2 linked regions of the Drosophila melanogaster genome follow. The protein of the gene in region 2 interacts with the protein of the main gene of each other region in a pairwise test. Each region holds a gene or a part of one and is shown on either strand. Other genes may lie near its edges.

Region 1 (10,061 bases), on a different chromosome or scaffold from region 2:
AAATCCCAACCAATACCATCGTGTACACCCACACGCACACATGCACACGCGTAGATTATTTTTCAAATATGCCGGCAACTGCTCTTGGTTTTGATTTGATGTACTTACTTGCTGCTGGCCTGATTATCGGTGCAATCAAAGTTAGAGATCATTTTGCCGCTGTAGCCGCTTATTGGACGATCGGTAACGATTAAATGGAAAACTGGCACACACGTAACAAAGTGAAACACACAAAATGCAAGTGGAAATGCACAGAAAATTGCAGATGCCGCGGCACGTTCGTTCAGTTCGAAAGGCGAATTAAGTGTGGCTGCCGCCGAGCCGCTAAATCACGCCGTCGGCTCGAAAATGAAAGGCACTAAATAATACCACAGATGCAGTGGCGGCGCTATAAATAGTTTGAAGGGGCTTCAGTATTTTTTTTTTAGCTTTTTCGTAGCTGATAGCTAGTTTAGGCTTAATGGTAACTTTAAACTGAAATGTATTTAAAACACTTGTAGGTATTTTTTTCATGGCAAATGCGGTCACACAGCGCAGGTCTAAAATTGTTTAAAACTCATTTAATTGAAATTAGCCTTAATTTCCAGCCCCCTTGCAAAAAAACGCTAGCCAGGATGGCCAGCTTGCCAGTGATTCTGCAATGCAGGATCTGCTTGGGCGATTTCGAAGAGAGCCAAATGATCTGCCTGTTTGGGGATAAAGGCGAAAGTGACCTCAGGAAAAAGTTGGAGCTGTGCTGTAGGATTAGGGTAAATGGAGCTGACCAGATGGGTTATATGTATCATTTCATTACTCCAACTCCCCCAGGTTCGCCAATCCCCGCAGCTGCCCGAGAAGGCCTGCAACAGCTGTTGCGAATTCGTCCAAATGTGGTTCAACTTTCGCCAGATGTGCCTGAACTCGCAGGTCTACTGGGAAACAAGTTCCTCGGAGAGACCAGAGGCTCTTGCCCAGGCAAGCGATGCCGAGTATATGTTGTATCTGTACGAGAACCTACATCTGAAACTAGGCACAGAGAATCAGGAGAAGGAAGAGATCACCGCAATAGAGGAGGGGGATGAACAGCAGGAGGATCAGTCCCAGGAAGTTCTCGATTTTAACGGATTTATCATAAACGAATCGATTGAGGAGGACGAAGAGCCTAATACGGAAAGTCCTGAGCAGATTCTGATTTCCCACATGGACTCCTACGTTGATGATCAACAAATGGAAGAACTCATTGATGATAAGGGTGAGCTTGTCGAGGAATTATCCAATGCAAACACGTTTTATGAGGTTGAGTACGGGGACGAGGAACTTCTCATGTCAAGCGCTCCTTCGCCACATCCCAGCTTCAAAATGGACAAACAAAAGCCGGGAAGGCCTCGCAAACCGGACGCCGAACTGAAATTCAAACGCAAGGATATCAACGCCAAGGAAAGGGGGAACCAGCCAAAGTGCAAGGAAGAGGAGAAGTTCATGTGCATCCTGTGCGGAAACGTCTTTTACAAGAAATCTGTTTTCACGGCCCACATGATGACCCATTCAGAGTACAAGCCCCACCAATGCGAGTAAGTGATATTAAGGTTTAGGAAGGAACAAATTTATCCTACAAAAATGTTATTGCTTTCAGAATATGCAATAAATCTTTTCGACAAATGGGCGAATTGCGAGCACACATCCGTCGTCATACGGGCGACCGTCCATACAAGTGTATGTACTGCGACCGCCACTTCTACGATCGCAGCGAACGGGTCCGCCATGAACGGGTCCACACCAACACGCGTCCTTATGCCTGCCAGGAGTGCGGGAAAACTTTTACGCACACAGCCATCCTCAAAAATCACATCCTTTCGCACTCCGCCCAAAAGAATTACAAGTAAGGGAGAGTAATCCTTTCTAGTGATTTGCACTTTTTATTAATAATTTGAACTTTTCAGCTGTGGTATCTGTTGCAAGTCATTCACTCTGCTGCACCAGCTGAAAGCTCACCTGCAAACGCTAACCCACCGCAACAAAATGGAGCAAACCATTCCCAGCTCTCCGGAAATGTTAGAGAGCTAATATAGTAAATTAATTGAGGAACTAGGGTTATCTATTATAAGTAGTATAAAGCCACTTTTCCAGAATAGACCAGCTATTTTTATTAACTATTCTACCACGTCGCTGTACTCCTTAGCTATCAGACGGTGCGCAAGAGACTTCTCGTGCGCTGTAAGTTGGTGCTTAAGCCGAAATTCTTTTTTACACATAAGACACTTGTGAGACTTTTCAGACGAATGCAGGTAGTAGTGAGCGTTACGAGAGGAGGACAGAGAGAATGTTTTTCCACATATGTTGCAAGCATAGGGTCTTTCATTCGTGTGCAAACTGAAATGAAGAAATTCAACATTGGAACTTAAATGCTGTACACAATATATATAGTTTTTGTCCATTCTACCGTTCGTGCTTGCGATGAGTGCTGTTGTCGGCAAAACGGCGCGAACAGTAGCAACATTGGTAAGGTTTCTCGCCCGTGTGCGTCCGCATGTGTGTTTTCAGGTTGCAGGCGGCTCTGAATGTCTTTTGGCAAACCCTGAATCATACATTTTATATATGAAATATTATGTTAAGATATATCACGGATACTTACTCGCACTGGTGGTCCTTTTCCTTGCGGTGCACCTGCGAGTGTGCATTTAGCTGAGATAAGCAGCGGTATGTATTGCTGCAGATCTTGCATCTGTACTTGTCCGGCTCGCAGGCCACTCCTAGATCTATCACGTAGTCGGCACTTGGCTCTAGATTATGGTAATCCTCGCTTGTCTCTTGAATACTGTCCGTAGCAGCGCTGCTTTCTTGCGAATACGTTTCGGAGTAATTTTGATCGGAGATCTCCCTGTCCAAATCCATATCACTGATGGTATAGTCCTCCTGGTGTATGTCTTTCTCGTTTTCCGCATTCACGTTGAGATCGAACACGAAATCGCTTGAAAATTTATTTATGGGTAAGATTTCATCATCTTTGGTCGTTTCCAATGCATTCTCTTGAGTCTTAAAGTTAATAGGATTCTCTTCGATGAGTCTCCCCGAAATGTTCTGCTTCCTGGCGCGTTTTTTCTGTTCAAGCTGGTCCTTATCCTCCAGCGTCTCAAATGCCGATGCGGAGGACAGAGTTTGACGAACGAGGCTTCTCAGGTGCGCGTCGGATTGTTTGCACGCGCTAAGAAATCTGTCCACCTCCTCCAGTTGCATCAAGCAGACTGTGCAAATTTGATCCGGCAGTCCATCATCCGGTTTCACCTAGGAGAGAGGATTTGTAACTGGTAAACTGGAAGCCAAACAGAAATCGAGTACTCACAGATGTGCCGGCATACGAGATCAACAGCTTGTGGGCATTGGACTCGAAGAGCGACTGCAGCGTGGATTGCGTTCCTTTTTTGCGGCAAGTGCGGCACATGCTCCATTTAATGCTGATTTCCATCGTTATTTCCGCAGGAAGTCCCTCTTTCGCGTCAAATGCCGATTCAAATGCCAGAGCAGTGAATTAAAAGTAAAAGGGTTGTCAGGTACGCGGAATTAGTAACAGTTTTCAACTATCATTCCAAATTTTTTTGCATTTAGTTCTAAAACTGTATTTTTATTGCGTGACTCAAGCTTAAATATTTAATAGGGCCCACCTGTTAGTTTAAAAAAAAAAATTAAGATTTAATTATTATCAATTATTCAATCGATATGCCGATAGCAAGTTCGATAGCCATTTATCGTTTTGCGTACATGACAACCCTGGGAAAAGTTCCAAGACGCTTGTTTATTTCAGAATTGCAAGCATACGTACGTCCAGGACGTGCAAGATAATGCCCGAGTACATGTTGTGCCGAATCTGCTTGACAGAGGACATCAACTCGGAGGCGATGGCGCCCCTGTTCGATGACAACGACGCCCAGTGCCGGGAGCTGGTGCGCAAGATTGAAGAAGTGGGCAGCATAAAGGTACATGTGGATGCAAATGTAAAATCCTGCGACTTAACCCACTCTGTGCTTTCAGCTGGTGCCGCTGCAGAACATCCCCAGTATGTTGTGCTACAGCTGCGTGGAGCGACTGACCAGTGCCCACAAGTTCCGGGAGCTTTGCCAGGAGAGCGAGCGCACATTTGCCACCAATGTAGTCAAGGTACGTATAGAGTTGATGGGCCACATATAAACATCCCACTTGACCCGGTACCATGTCAGGCCGAGATGAAGTCGGAGCCAACGGACGAGGTGCCGCACGTAGTGGCTGACAACATTGAGTACATCTACGAATCGGCCAACGACTTCATCGACGGTGTCGAGGATGACATCGGAATGGAGAACATCATGGAGGAGCCCCTGGAGGATGGTGTCGGGGAAACGTCGCAGGCCTACGAGACTAGCACTGTAGTGGACGACCTGGACGAGGATGACTTGCTGGTGCCGAATAGCACCGATAGCGACTACCAGCCCATCGAGCGCTGCCGCAAAGCTAAGGTGCGTAAAACGCGGATGACTAAACGTGGACGTGGCCGACCTCGCGGTGCTAGCTCCGGACACCCACGCAGTTTTAGCGAGGAGCGTCCGCCTGTTCAAGCTAGCTTCAAATCATCTCCCGAAGTATCCTCCACGAACATTATGTGCGAAATCTGCGGCAATATCTACTCCAAGCGAGCCGCTCTCAACATTCATATGCGTCGTCATATGGCCGAGAAACCATTTAAATGCGAGTGAGTATCTGAAATTATCATCTGAACCATTTTATATTATGTAAATCTTATTCCGCTTACAGAATATGCAGCAAATCCTTCGCGGGTCCATCCGAGCTAAATCGCCATATCCGCGTTCACACGGGCGAGAAACCATTCTTGTGTAAATATTGCAACCGCTCGTTTGCGGATCGCAGCTCCAATATTCGTCATGAAAGGTGAAGATGCAATTCCTCATAGTAATCTTCATATAAACTATACTTGTTCCTTTTGCAGAACACACACAAACGAGCGACCTTTCACTTGCTCCACATGCGGCAAGGCATTCTCCTACTCTAACGTGCTAAAAAACCATATGCTCACCCACACGGGCGAGAAGCCTTTTCTGTAGGTCCATTGACTGCTTTAATCATGTATAACCCTAAATTCCCTTTAATTTTTCAGCTGTCGAGTCTGCAATAAGACCTTTTCCCGCAAGCACCAGTTGGATCAGCATTTGGGCACCATGACCCACCAACAGACTGTAATACACCACAAAAACGAACGGACGGGGCGCTATTAGTCGAAAACAATGCAATACAATTTCTGTTAGATAATTCATTAATGTACATTTAATTATATATAAAAATTGTAAAATAAAAAAGAGTACAAATGGTCAGACCGGATGTGTAAAATAATCGGATTTGATTTATTACTATTTGGTTAAAGAACTTGTTCAAAAACACAAATATTTTTTGTAATGTTTTTTATTACGTCCATATATTCGAGAAAAAAATTGGAACACGATTACAATCTTTGATTTTGTGCGTTTATTTGGTAGTTTTAACATCATTTTGGCCATTAAATGAGTGTGCGTTTTTTATTGTTTCTTTTCTTTGTGCTCTGTCGAAGACTTTGTTACCGTTTGTGGAAGCTACAACATGGAATAATAATCGAATGGCACAGGATTAATTAAATCTTCTTTTTTTGGACAAGTAAATATGTTTTGTTTTTTTAGGTTTATAACTTGTAACGTTTTACATCAAAATCTAAAAACGTTTGGAAGTCGGGAGGGATGCGGCTCTTCTTCTATTCCTTAGGGAAACAAAAAGTAAAACCAAATATGCTAGATATTCGCATAAAATGGATTTATGCGAATACCTGTACTTAAATGTACGTCTACCTTGTTAAAGAAAAGGACGCGGAATTTTAGAATTCTTACCGATAGCTAATTAGTGTAATGGCTAGATAGGCAGCTTCATTGTTCAATGGCTAGCTCCGTGAGTTTCTCTTCTTTGCGTTTATGAATATTGCTGGACAGGTGGGTCATCAAATGGGAGATTCGTTTGAAGTGCTTCTGACATACGTAGCAGCTGTAAAATCAAAGTGTGTTGAAACGTGTAATACAAATAATGTGCAGAGTTGGCAGAAATCGAAATGCCCACTAGTGATTCCGCGCATCCACATGGATCATCTTGTGCTTCCTGAGACATCCGGAGCTTACAAAACTCTTTTTGCACGTGTCGCACTCGTAGCGGCGTTCGTTCCGATGGCGGCGATGGTGCTCCTGGCGAGCGCCTGAAGAGGAGAACCGACGTGGACAGTAGACGCACACGTATGGCTGCTCGCCCGTGTGGATACGCGTATGGCTAGTCAGTTCCTTTCGAGTTGCAAAGCTCCTTTCACAATTCCTGAGGAGAAAAATCGTATCTTAGGTGCACTAGCCCAAAGGAGGTTAAGGATAATTTACAAAAAAACACAGTGGAAATTCTTGATGCCTGTGTGCCGGAGCGTGTGCTCTTGAAAGTTTGACTTATTGTTAATGATCCTTCCGCAATCAGGGCATACATATGGACCAGTACCTCCTCCAATTGACTTTTGATGGTTCAAACTAGTCGGTGCTGAGACCTTTTCAGCACTTGGCATTGGAAGATCTTTGACTTCAGGACATAGAATGGACTCGTCCAACTCACTCTCAATTTGGTTATCATCGATGTCTTCGTATATTATTGGATCTGTGGAGCAATCCTTGCTGTCGCACTCAATCCTTTCCAGATTCTGTTTCTCGGCAATGATGCAGCGCTGGCGGAACTTAATGGCTGCCTGCAGATTGTCCAGGCAAGTCGTGCACATTTGGCCGGATATTTCTTTCTTGCAGCTTAGCTGGAAAGTATAAATAGCAAATTAAGTGCCATGATTAAGGAATATTTTTAGACATATTACCTCCACCCCAGTAATGGAGTGAATTTGACGAACTAGATGACCGTTTCCTGGACCAAAAAGGTCTATTGGGGCATCTGATCTAGAGCAAATGCGGCAATTCAGAATTCGCATCTCGACTTTGATTTGTTTTTGAATAATTGTTTACTGTTTACGTTTCGAGCAGCTTATGCGAAATGTGTCGTTAAGCTATTTGCATGGTCACTCTAACTTTTGCACGCATAAACGCTGTTTAGAGTTTTTGCACAGGGATTAGTACCTTATGAAGTAACATAAATACAAATATGTTTTATAATCTCATTTAATAAGAGTACCATAATGGTTTACTGCACTTTTTAAATCATTTAAGTCACACAATGGCATTGCCGCACTTATCGATTTTGTCGATAATAAAACCAGCTGTTGCATCACAATATATATACATACATATGTGTAGTGGATGCGTTTACAAAACAATTGGTTGTTTATATTCGAATTAAACTGAAGTTGGGCTAAACTTCGGTTGATTTTCAACTAACATTATGGCGCTCCAGTGCCGGACCTGCGGCAGCATCATCTACAATAAAATGCCCAAGAATCTCTTTCATATTGAGAACGAGAAGATGCTGCAAGACATAAATCTTGTCACTGGCACAACAGTATGTAAGAAAAATGGTTTCCATTTGATTTGTGCAGCATTTTCTGTGATTGCAGCTCCACAACGATCCAGAGCTGCCCAGCAGCATATGCGCCTGCTGCACGCTTGACTTGAACCAAGCGATTTTGTTCCGGGAGCGGTGCATCCTAACGCAGAAGCAGCTCGTCCATCGTCGTAGATCTCCCGAAGCGAAGGAACCGGCTGAAGATGTTGAGGAGATGGCATCACCGCCGGATTGTCTGAACGATCCATTCGGGGAAGTCGATGAATACATTGTGGAATCCCCAGAAGAAGTTTTGGATCATGATAGTGATGCTCATCATGATCTGGATGAGGATAATTATATTGATTCTGTTGAAGATGTTGATGCGCTTCAAGATATGGCTGAAGTAGCCGAAGAGGATTCTCAAGATGTCGAATCTCTGATCTCAAGTGTACAGAAAGAACTTGAGAGCATTTGCAACGACGACAGCAACTCGGATAACAACGATTACATGGAGCCCCAAAACGGTTCCTATTTCAATGAAACTATAAACGAATATGAAGTATCATCGAACCCAAACACACCGCTGCCCGAATCGAAGAGTGCAGCAGGTCGGTCAACGAAGCCAGCGACCACAAAACCCAAGCGGAAAAAACAGTACGTTACGTGGAAAAATATGACCGAGGAGCAGATCATAGAGCGTAAGCGACTGCAGCGTAAACGCGAGTGTGTTTGCGAACAGTGCGGCCGGCAATTCACCGACCAAAGCAATTTCAAGCTTCACATGCTGCGGCACACGGGCAATAAGAACTTCGCCTGCCAGCAGTGTGGCAAGCGGTTCTACACCGACCATCTCATGACGCTGCACCAACGAATCATTCACCAGGGCGAGAAGCCATACGACTGCCGCTTTTGCACCAAGTCCTTTCACAATAGCAACACTCGCCTCATCCACGAAAGGTAAGGGACGTATCCTTGTATCCACTACGGATTCGGACATTTCTGAGCTCAAACCAAAAAAAATCCTTTCTAGGACTCACACCAATGCCAAACCCTACAGCTGTCATCATTGCGATAAATGTTTTAAGTCAGCTTCGGGACGCAAGCGGCACGAACTAATCCATACAGGAGTGCGAGCCTTTGCGTGAGTATTTTTTGACTAGGCGTTGGTATTCCAAAATTTAATACAATTCCCTTTGCAGCTGCACCATCTGCAAACAATCCTTCCAGCGCAACACTCACTTAAAGGCCCATCTGCGATCTAAATTTCACACTGCAAAAGCGAAAACCATTGGTGCGGAGGTACTACAATTATAAGCTGATATAGTATTTAAATTAAAAAACAAGTATTAGATATAAGAAATAAAGCAATGTTTTCATTTAATTGGAGTGCAAACATTTAAATTGCGATAAAATTTTATTAACCCGATTTAATAATCGACACATGCTGCAGTGCAGCCCTGCCAATAAGTATCCAAGGTGGCAATCCTGACATATTTCAATATAAATTTGGAGTGAAAATAAGAATTTTTATTCAAGTTTACACGTCTGCCCGAAACTTCCAAATACATTTGACGGAGAAAGTATTAAACATTATTTTTTATCTTTAATCGTTTATTTAGCCAAAGGCTTAAAGATTTTGGTATATTTTGGCGCTTCACCAACGGTCACACAGTAACCATTTCCTATGAAATTCACATTGCATTTCTCTTTAGAATTAATAAAACTAAAAAAAGAAAGAAACGAGATTGCACACAATCGTTTACGACGAAGCTTGATTCACCCGCCAAAAGTGTTCCCCTCCGCCCGACTGCACTGTGAGAATACCGGTTGTTGACCTTCGGCAGCATGGAGCGTCGTCGCTTTAACATGAGCAGCATGTCACCCATGGCGGATTCCACGCGGATTGACGCGTCGCTGTTGTAAGACACCACCTGTCCAACTGGATTCTAAGCGGTTACTAATCAAATTTGCTCTCCTTTGTTCAGAAACAATCGTCCGGCGGCCAGTAATTTCCTGAGGGGACTGAGTCCCAAGGGGTCGAATACCTCGCTCAATGGCACACGCACTCCGGAGCGGTCCTTGATGAATCGCTCTGCCACATCGTCCAGTACCATAACGCGACAGAAACTGAACCTCAGTCAGGTTGATCCCAGGTAAGTCAAAGCTTGTGTGCCATTTCACGATGTGACGAAAGTGCAATATCAAATTTTCATACCTTTCAGAACCTTTGCCGATGTGCATAGCAGCGGACTGTCATCCCGGATCGTGGCCTTAAGCGAACGCAGTGGTCTGCAACGCAGCATGTCCGCCAGCAATCTTTACAATCCCTTGACGCAGCCGCGCAGAGCGCCCGCTTCCCCGTTGCCCTACAAGTCAAGGGCGCCGACGCTTTCGATCACGCAGATTGCACCACCGGAGCGCAGCTTTTATTCCGGAAACACGCTGTCAAGCCTGTTGCGATCCAACTCCTTGGTAGGGTTAGTGCCAAAGACCACCGAACAGGAGCAGCTTTCGAGAGAGAATCGACCCATATTGCACCCACCTCATCCACAGCATGAGAG
Region 2 (10,061 bases):
CGTGGAAATAATCGCAATCAAATTGAGAATCATACTTAAATATGTACATGCACGTGTGTATGTACATATGTACACTAAAAAGGATTTTTCTTTCTTTTGCGATATATAAATAAAACTTACAGCAAGAATTCTCGAATAAGAAGTCCCCCATCATTGGCAATATTTTTTCAGTTCTCAAATGAAAAAGAGCCAACTTATATTGTACTGCTCGAAAAGTTTGGCCAAAAGATCTTTCCAGGGAAATATATATGGGTCAATCGATATACACCGACAACAAAATCAGAGATGCATGGATAAATGGAACTACCCACTCATAATATACCAATATAATACAATATACCAATTTTCTAAGGTTAAATTTTACTCAGCTAATGGGCGATTAGTGTTACCAGTGTTACCAAAACGTGCAGAAGGATTCAAATCATTTAAAAAAAATTTATAAAGCTAATAAGAATTAAATGAAATGGATTTGGCTACTGAATAGACTAGATATTATTATTTGTCATATTTTGGTTTTTCTGTATTTAATTTATTTATTTTTAAATCCTTCTAAAATAATGTAATATTCAAATAAGACATTTTTTTAATATGAAATAACAAGCTTGTTGGAGAATTATAAATTATAAAATGTTAAATTAAAAAAATAATAATAACAACAAACGAAATAACTTTGTTTAGTTTTTACCATGCAATTATTGCAGTTGCCAAATAACTAATATAAATTACTTTCCAGCTATTTACAAAAATTATGTCACAGCAAGAAGCAATTTCATCCCAAACGACTACGCATTCAACAGGAGACTCGTTATATTCGAATTAATCGATGCCAGCTGCTTTGTGATGGCATACATGGCGCTGCCAACTCGCACACAACTATCGACGGCCGATAATTCGGGGACGACTGACTGTTGTGCGCGCGTTGACGCTGTGCAGCACTGGCAGAAAACTACGCAACGTCGATTGCTATCCCGCTCGCACTCACGACTCACCCGACTCTCCAACTTCGGAGGCAACCATGTCCCAGGCGTTCTCACTCGGCAGGCGCTTCCTATAGTTTTCGTCGGTACGATCATAAAGCGCAGTCTGCTTCTCCACTGACCGCAGCAACATCAGGTTCACCTCAGAGGCGGCGCTCATCGCTAGTTCACTTTGCAAGAATCCAATCGAGAGAGCTCGCTTCGCCAGGAATTTATCGGTTTTGTGTTATGCTACAAACGCAAACGCAATTCACACAATCACAACACACGCGCGCAGCAGCTGAGACTAAAAACGGCGACCGACTGCAGCGAAAACTAAAAGCGAGTATTGAGCACACACACACAGCCAAGTGAGAGTGTGAGCAGAGAGCGGCGCCTTGCGTTGCAGGGAAAAGCGAGTTGGCAGGCCGAACGGTCGTTGACGAGGGTTGACCAAGGTGGCCCCGGATAAATTTATTTTTTACCTGTCGGGCTAGACTATAATATTTTTTTACGTTTATAAATAATGTTTTTTACGCGTTGTTCATAATTCTCAAAACCGCTCAACCTTGTTTTCCAGTTTCTCTAAGATTTGTTAGCATTTATCTTAAAATAAAATAACTTCATTTGACAGCCAATACAAATATGAAATATTTTATTTTGTACATTAATTTAACCAAAATCGTAATATTCTTGAATAATTTTTATAATTTACAACATTTAGGGGTGGTCATTAATTAATTGGTAAATGCGTTGGCAGCACCTCCAGCGATCAAATGGCACTGCCAACACCAACTGCTATACTATTGCATTAAGTCTGGCAGTGCTGTCTACTTTGAGTGAGTGTGCCTTTCATTGTATGTGTGAGATCCAGTGGCATGTCAATTCTCTCTCAGAGAGGGTTGTATGCTGCTCGAATGGTAACCCCCGCTGATTTGCGAAGAGAATGACTACGCCTCTGGCTTTCCGTTTGTTGTGGCTCCTTTCTTTATTTATTTTGCCGGTGTTTTATATTCTCCGCCCGTTAAAGATTCAAATGTCCAATTCGAATCAGTCTAGTGCTCATGTGCTTTAAAATCAAGAACAATTGCTATTTGAAATTGCAACATTCATTTACAACTGCATCACTTGTTGGCAGCAGCACGAAATCGCAGTGTTCAAAGTTGCTAAACACTTGTAATAGCAGCAACTCCGGCGTCCACGCCAACAACTGCCGCGTGCACGGAAGCAACGAGCGGCTTGAGCCCGAACTTAATAAGCCAAAACTCGTGATAAAAGCACTGACATCGATTAATTGGAGCATTTTTAAACCTAATTCACGTAAGTTTAAACGAAAGATCTGGTTTCAGAGAAAATAACTGTTGTTGAAAGCGGAGCAGAGAAGCAAAGTAGCGGCAAACAGCTGTTGCACGGTCAGGCGACACATGTTTCAGATTCGATTTCGGGTCTTCTACTTTAACTCTATTAATTATATTAATTAATTAAATTTGCATATTTAGTTTTTATATATGAAATGAATACACGCCGTCGGTCCATAGCTCCACCACCGAACGTTTACGCCATCAATGCCAAAATATGTCATTTGGTGAAACTACATCCTTGTCTTTACGATCGTCACGATGACAACTACTTGCGGAAATCGACTGTGAAAAATGCGTGGAAGGAAATATCCAATGAGATGCGAAATTCGGGTGGGTTTTTATCTATATTTCGACATATTGCATATTAACTAAATTTACTTTAATTATTAAATTTACATTTCATTAGGAGATGTTTATATTTTTATAAGCACGATTTTACTATGTCGATACATAATATAAAATAAAATATAATCTCTTATAAAATCTTACAATTTATATTATATAAATATTATATAATATTATCTTACAATCTTATTGACTGCTATTGATCATTTCAGTTAAAAGCTGCAAGGAACGTTGGCGCAACATTCGCTCCAGCTATGCCCGCTCAATAAAGTTGCATCACGGTGCGAATACGTACTATCTTAACAGCGAGCTGAAGTTCCTGCAAAAGCACATCACTCCCGGAGTGCCCGTTCCGCTCAGAGGTCGTAGGTCAAGACCCAAGGGACAGGAGGAGCACGACGAAGGGGATCCCGAAACTCCCGTAGAGGCAATCCTCGAGATGGTGCACTCCCCGAGCTTTCTGAATTCGGAGCATGCGCAGAGCCGTCACAGCACCGACCCTGCATCGGCGACGGACGTTGAGGTGGGAGCAATACTCAGATGCATTTTGCTGAGGCCTTAAATTATTACAACCTTGTTTAGCGTTATGAACTATACTTTAAAGTAAAAAAATGATGTATGCTATATTTTTGGTCAAAAGTTAAAGCTGTGCAAATTAGCTTAGTTTTATACTGTGTGCCCGTTTTTATTTCAAAGCTGAAATTTGCATTTATAATTTTAATGATGCAGTTTCCTTTAATTCTTCAGGCAACACAATTTAATAATGAACCATCATCAATCATGGATTTCGAGGACACGGTCCCGGCAGAAATGCGCACAGAGAGCGACAGCAGTGAGAAGGAGGCCAAGGTGGGAGAAATTACTTTATATAGAGTGCCATTGCTTGAATTCCCCAAAGTAACAATCTATTAAGTGCAAAATTTAATTTGTACAGCGTTTATTTATGATTTGTTATTTTCTTATTTCAGACATCAACCCGCTGTATTGAAGCATTGCCAATCATGGATTTCGATGACGCATTCCTGCAGGGACTGCGTCCCGAAATCAAGCACATGAACTTCCACCAGAAGCTGTACTTCAAGCGACGTGTGTACGACCTGCTTGGCGAGATATTCCATTCCGAGCAGTCAGCCTCATCAACCCACCCAGCGCAGCCGCATCCCAGGGAGAATGTCAATGGAACGCTATCCACTACCTCGAGTCTCTCCTCGGCGAATCCACTACAGCACATGGGACTTATGCTGCAGCTGCCAAAGCTGGTGTCCAAGGCATCCAAAGATTTGTAGCTTGCGAACTGCTCATTGAACAGCTTTAATACACTGATATCAAATTTATGTACAGTACATAGGACAAATAACATTTTAAGTTGTTTTTAGAAATGTTCCCATAATGTATAAACAGAAAAATGTGAAGTTGAAACTAAATAAATAAATTTTTCTAAATTTAAAACTAGACTTTTTTGTGAAAACTAAAATTTTTTTGTGAAGGAAATTAAAACAATCCAGACAATTTAAAAAAATTACATTCAGGTTAATTTCATATATGTTGTATGTTTATTTTTAGCAAATACTTTTGTATACGTAAACATTGTTTTTGTTGTTCTTTAAATAAAATAATAATTATTAAAATAATATACATGTATAACGTTCCCGTATAATTTATGGCATAAAATATAATTGTTTTTTTTTTCGTTATGTTTTTTTGAATAATAAGTTGTGTATAAGGAAATAGGGCTGCCCGATAGCTGGCTTCAATTTGATTAAAGGTTTAAATACGTAAATTAGTCTCGATTAGTAATATGTACAATCATCGATCAGTTATAGGTAGGTAAGCAGGGCATGAAAACGTTGTAAGGGTTTAAACAATTGCACTTTAAATTAAATATCTATCAAATTAGGCATACAATTAAAGGTTCGTTTAAATGCAAAACAAATCGCTCGCAGCATTGATCCATCGAATTGGCAAGACCCCCAAGGTTAGACCGGTTAAGGGGTAACCAAGCTAATTGGCTTAAATCTATGAAAATTGTGGCGCATTCTTCCCCATCGTTGGTATTTCATTTAGACCATTTCATCTAGGCGAAACAAATCTTGACCGGTCCCAGCGGCAGTTGCTTCATATAGTTCCAGGCATCCACACGTGTCATCCGCGACGTGGAGGCACCATTGATGCTAAGGATTTCGTCGCCATTGCGCACCTGGTTGGTCTTCTGGGCGGCACCACCTGGTTAAGAAACACAACCTTCATTAATAATCGCTTTAAAGGAAGGATGACAAATTAACCTTACCCATGAACACCTTTTTGACAATAAGGGGACGATTTCCCAGCGGCGAATCAAAGCCTCCTTCGATGGAGAAACCCAGTCCACAGCTGTCCTTAACAATCTCCACACAACGAGCTCCACCTCCACTGGCCGCCGCATCCTCCGCTATAATGACACCGGACTCATTAAAATAATTTATGAACAATGGACTTTTTGATATATACGATAGGCACAGGAGTTTAACAAATTTAATAAAAAATATTGGATAAATATTTCCATTTTTGTACTATACAATAAATTGCACAATTATCCGAGTATTTTCAACAAATAATATATATATTTTGATTAATGGAATTTAAATTGACTTACTGTTAATGAATTTACTGGATGTGTAAATAATGCTTATGCAAATTGATTTCATACAGATTTTTTAGATATAACGAAAATGCAATGCAGATAGTTCTTTTACGATTTATGTATATAATTTTTAACATTGTTAAATTATTTTTCATCTAAAAGGCTTACTCACCTTGTGCACGAATCTCAGCTGCGATGGCATTTCTGGCCTCTGCCGCCCGTTCCAGGAGCTCGCTCGTGCTAAGCTTGGCGGCATCTCCGCGGGACAACTGCCTCCTGGCCCGGATACCTGCGATGGTGGCCTCCGCATCCTCGTCGTGCAAGCTCGCCGGCTGCGGTGGACTTACGGATCCCGTGCTGGGAGTAGTAGCCACTGGCGATTCACCAGCCTCATTGGACACCAGATCAAGATCCAAGTCCAGAGATCGGGAGGCCTTGTGGTAGTTCCTCTTGCGTTCATAGTCCAGCTCCGTGGGTTTCTCATTGAGCGAGCTAAGTGATCCCAGGGAGGATCGTTTCTTGGTCAGCGCCTTCACCACCAGCGACTCGGAGCGGGTCACCACTAGCACGACCTCAGGTCGGGGGGTCTGTTCAGAAAAAATGTTTTAGTTAAGGTTGAAGATGAAGATTACTTTCCCTAGATTACAAAACATTTAAAATACCTTAAGCACACTGATGGATTCGCGGTGCGTCAGTCCGCGCATGCTCATTCCATTGACGGCAAGGATTCGATCACCCTTCTTTAGACGTCCATCCTTGGCAGCTGGCGTGTTGCTCAGGATCTTATGGATCTGGTGGGTATTGAAAGAAGTTACATTAAGATCACGTTTAAAAGTGAGAATGACAAGCGTTAACTCACCGTAATTTCCTTAGCCTCATAATCAGAACCGCCGGCCAAAGTGATACCGATGCTGCTCTCGGGATTTTCCCTCTGCAGGACGATGATGAACGCTTCTGGGGTCTTTAGTGGAGGATCAGCCTCCTCGACTATCTGCTGGACATCCTGGGCGGTGATCAAACTCTGGTTGCTACCCAGCGAGGAAAAGCTGCCGAATTCGGTGGCCGTTTCCTGGGTGGTGCTCACGTTTTGGGTGGTGGAACTAACGCCGGAGGAACTGGACGCCAGGGAGTCCAGCGAGGAGAATCGCTCATGATGCGGCTTCTGGGTGACCTTATGGATTACGGGCGAGTGGTTTTGGGTTTGAGCTTGGGCTGCAGCACTCCTTTCGAACTTTTCGCGCAGTTCGGCGGTGGTCTGTTGCTTCAGCGGTTCCCTTTTCGCAGATGGTAGCAGCATTGGGAGGACCATAGGTTTGACCTGCTCCACTTTGACCTTAGCCTGCTGGTTAGGATCTCCTTTGAAGCTGGCCTTGCGCTCCTCGTCTATGAACATGGCACTGATCTTGGCAGGCGTATCAGATCTACGGCTGCTGTCGTCCGTATCCGAGGTTAGTTCCACATAAGCGGCCACATTGATCAGCTTATCCACTACCAGTTGTTTGCCCAGTTGGATCTGTTGCTGCTGGAGCTTATAGCTGGAAATCGGCTTCATTCTACGATTGGCCAGGGAACAGGCTTCACCATCGGTGCTGTCGTTATCCTCCTCTTGACCTCGACTCTTGGCACTGCGACATTTGGCCGAGGCCAGAATACTTTTGCGACTGGAGAGCGCAACGGCTTCGCCATTGATCACCTGGCTCTTGAGAACCCGCCTGGTTAGATCCACCGCTGGTGTGCTGCCCAGCGAACTGCAACTGGCTTGAGATCCGGCAGAAGATCCTGATGTTAGAGTAGAGGTGTTTGAACTAGCTATCGAAGTGTTTGTTTCGGAGCTGAGGGTTCTGGTTAGTGCAAACTTCTCCGGCGGAGTGGCAACCCTAGCAGTGTGCGAAAACACCGAATCCGTATCACTTTCCTGATCTAAAGGAGGTGGTGGTGGTGGTATCATCATGCTTCTCGGCTGAAGTGGTGTCAACGATGTCCTGGGTGGTTTGGCTGGTGGTTGAGAGAGCTGTTGCTCCAGGGGTCTTCTTTGATTGGTATTTAAAATGCTGCGATAGTTATTTGCGGCACCTCCTGCACCCAATTGGCAATTCCTATTCACCGTACTGCGGTGGCTTTCGCCTAATCCGCTATCCGTACTATCCTCTCCGCTGGCTGCTTTTACCTGGCTTTTGATCTCCGGCAGATCCAGGATGGGTTCCAGCAGTTGGGGTCTCTCTGGTATGACCAATCCTCGCAGTTTCGACAAACTTCTTCTTCTTTGCTCTAGGATATTTGTAATGGCTGCCTTTCGGTTGGCCGCATCTCCGCCTTCTCCCGAGAAACTGATCCTTCTCTCCACTCCAGAAGAATAAGATCCCCCGTGGCTTCTTCTCGGCAAAGAGGCGTAGCTCGGTGTGGGCGTGGCTGTGTTCAGGGAATACATAGAGTCGGCCACGTGCAACTGGGGCAGCTGTTTGGCCAACTGATATTGCCGCTGAACATCATTCAAATTTTCCACGCTCATCGCGCGAGTTTTCAGCGAAGGAGCCGAGGATGATGAGCAACTGTCCAGAAGATTTTCACTGCTCCTATTCAAGGGCTTCCGGGTGAAGGAGCTTGAAATGGGGGCTGTTGCCGGAGCTGGCGGTATGGCATCCAGTTCGTTGTTTGACGAGAACATGGCAATCTTGTCGCGCACTGATTTCTCCGACTTTTCATCCTTGCGCCAATCGCTAGGCTTCCGGGGAGTACCACCACTCAGAGATCTCTGATAGTCCCTGGTTAAACTGGGTGCTGGCTCTACGTTGATGACCAAATCCTGGCGATATACTTTCCTGGGAACTGTGGCTGGTGGCCCCGTTTTGGGAAGCGGTGGTGCAGAGGACTCATCCTTTCCGCCTTTCTGTATCTCGTAACTCAACTCGGTGGTGACCTTTAGTGGGTGGCTGTGCATGATCAGTGGTTCGCTGAAATTGGGTGGAAATTCATGACCATCGGGCGGCAGGCGGGAATATGTGGGTGGTGAGGCGTAGCTGAGGTAATCCTGCACCAACAGCTGTTTAGTGGTGGTTGCCTGATGCAGGTGGTGCGTTGCTGTCGTCGTTGTCGTTGTTGTTCCTGTGTTGCTGCTCAGCAGCTCCATTTTGCCGGGGATCTGGGGTGCAGCAGGTTTTGTGGTTGCCGCCTCAGTGGATGTCTTCTTAATGCTGCTGCTGATTAAAGTTGCTGCCGGGATGTTGCTACTGGCGTTAATGCCGCTAATGCTGCTTATATTGCTGTGGTGGTTACTGAGGGTACCAAGATCTGCAAGAGGATTGTAAAAGAGAGTGGGAAAGGTTCTGGTTAGTCAAACATAAAACACGGGGAAGAAAACAATTGGACGGAAAATAAGGTACCTTACGAATGTATACAACAATTTCCAATATCAATTTAATAAACATAGGAAGTAACCTTATAATATTTTTAAAGTTAATTTTGTATAAAATCGTCATAGGGTTTGCTAAGTTAAACAGTAGGTCATGTAGTATTTAGTTTAAAGTTTTTGAGTTAGTTCTTTAGAGATAAAAGTTAGCAACATATTGGGTATACGCAAATATCCTTAATTTTGACCAACTATAGGTAATAGGAATTCGAGTAGTGCGCTGTTGGATAATCGAAAAAAGAAAAAGGTAAATGTGTTTAAATACTATTTAAAAGGTCATTTCCAGCAAAGACAAAAATCATTTAAATAATAGTCAATTAATTGTCGGGGGAGAGCTCTGTTACAAAACTTTAATAATTATCCATCCATCCATCCTAGCCAGCGAAACTTTCGCTTATAGCAAGCCCCCAAATAGTTGTCATTATGCGCTAACCGGAGACGAAAAACAAAAGCGAATCTTACGGATGCGATCCCAGCAATTAAAAACCGCAACAATAACAAGAAAAATCTCGCAAAAAGCGAGAAGAAAGAGAAGGTTCAAAGAGGCGGAGACAAAGATTTAGGCAAACAAATTATATGCGAAGAAAACAAAACTTTGAAAACAAAAACAAAAGGGTTTTCCAAAAAGCGAAAGTCGCCAAAAGAATGGTAGCGATTCCCTCAAGCGAAGAGTTGACAAAAACCTTTATGCACAAAATTAGCCAAACTGTGCTGCCTCATTTTTCGCATGTTTTTCTGGGTCACTCGGGGGTGTTTCGATGCCAATTTCTATTTAAATAATTTATTGCTTACTTAGAAAGAGTTTCTAATGACAGCATTTAGTTTTGATTTGTTTTATGGCTCTAAATCTAAACGGAATTCGTCATAAATGGGAATACGGGCAGGCTGCTGAGGAATGCTTCTTTGGACTTGTAACAATTTGCATAATTAATTGAGCAAAAAATGTAAAAACAAAACGAGGCTAAATTTCATTAAAATGGAAAACGCTGCGTGGATTTTTTTCCATTTTATCTTTTACTCTTTCTGCCTTTTGGCCACACACACAAAATGTTAATGAACTTTAGCAAATGTAAAGTTCGCCAAAAATAAAGAGAGAAGAGTAGCAAAAAATTAAAAAAAAAAAAAAAAACATAAGAATTGTTTAATGAAAAGAAAGGCAGCAAAAAATCATGTTTGCATGTGCCGAAACCAAAAAAATGGTTATGGCTGAAAAAATACAAGCTGAAGAAGTGCGTGAAAAATTGCAAAATGTAAAGTCAAGGGCCTATGAAAGAACTTTGACCTTGGTCATAAGAGGAAGAATCAGATTATCTGTGAATTTGGACGAATTCGTCATGATTACTATTTTTTAATATAATGTATGGAATCGTTCG

Evidence for each region. Proteins that work in one complex are often made in the same cells at the same time.
Region 1: the proteins of CG3919 (region 2) and Zaf1 interact in a two-hybrid assay, tested with the Drosophila melanogaster proteins (one large-scale study listed by BioGRID).

What each region holds. Positions count from the first base shown.
Region 1 is NT_033777.3:11,619,596-11,629,656, forward strand, and holds Zaf1 (ZAD and architectural function 1), read right to left. Parts: upstream 6,050-10,061; 5' UTR 6,031-6,049; coding exon of another isoform or gene 5,916-6,030; 5' UTR 5,880-5,915; exon of another isoform or gene 5,674-5,879; intron 5,592-5,673; exon of another isoform or gene 5,456-5,591; intron 5,354-5,455; exon of another isoform or gene 5,241-5,353; coding exon of another isoform or gene 5,123-5,240; 5' UTR 5,066-5,122; coding exon of another isoform or gene 4,955-5,065; 5' UTR 4,897-4,954; coding exon of another isoform or gene 4,762-4,896; 5' UTR 4,760-4,761; intron 4,708-4,759; 5' UTR 4,700-4,707; coding exon of another isoform or gene 4,191-4,699; 5' UTR 4,132-4,190; coding exon of another isoform or gene 4,006-4,131; 5' UTR 3,951-4,005; coding exon of another isoform or gene 3,816-3,950; 5' UTR 3,797-3,815; exon of another isoform or gene 3,744-3,796; intron 3,639-3,743; 5' UTR 3,443-3,638; coding exon 3,320-3,442; intron 3,262-3,319; coding exon 2,612-3,261; intron 2,555-2,611; coding exon 2,420-2,554; intron 2,350-2,419; coding exon 2,130-2,349; 3' UTR 2,044-2,129; coding exon of another isoform or gene 1,920-2,043; 3' UTR 1,871-1,919; downstream 1-1,870. Other genes in the region: CG14710 (uncharacterized protein), read left to right, coding at 615-749, 808-1,550, 1,613-1,858, 1,920-2,043; CG14711 (uncharacterized protein), read left to right, coding at 3,816-3,950, 4,006-4,131, 4,191-4,699, 4,762-4,896, 4,955-5,065, 5,123-5,240; CG6813 (uncharacterized protein), read right to left, coding at 5,916-6,030, 6,103-6,348, 6,408-6,820, 6,881-6,991; CG18764 (uncharacterized protein), read left to right, coding at 7,399-7,515, 7,571-8,457, 8,531-8,641, 8,700-8,814; CG14712 (uncharacterized protein), read left to right, coding at 9,346-9,419, 9,486-9,653, 9,723-10,061.
Region 2 is NT_037436.4:14,408,626-14,418,686, forward strand, and holds CG3919 (uncharacterized protein), read left to right. Parts: upstream 1-2,000; 5' UTR 2,001-2,276; intron 2,277-2,455; 5' UTR 2,456-2,469; coding exon 2,470-2,647; intron 2,648-2,874; coding exon 2,875-3,185; intron 3,186-3,409; coding exon 3,410-3,559; intron 3,560-3,630; coding exon 3,631-3,948; 3' UTR 3,949-4,107; downstream 4,108-10,061. Other genes in the region: stwl (stonewall), read right to left, coding at 990-1,137; bbg (big bang), read right to left, coding at 4,737-4,885, 4,950-5,090, 5,455-5,869, 5,945-6,073, 6,142-8,570.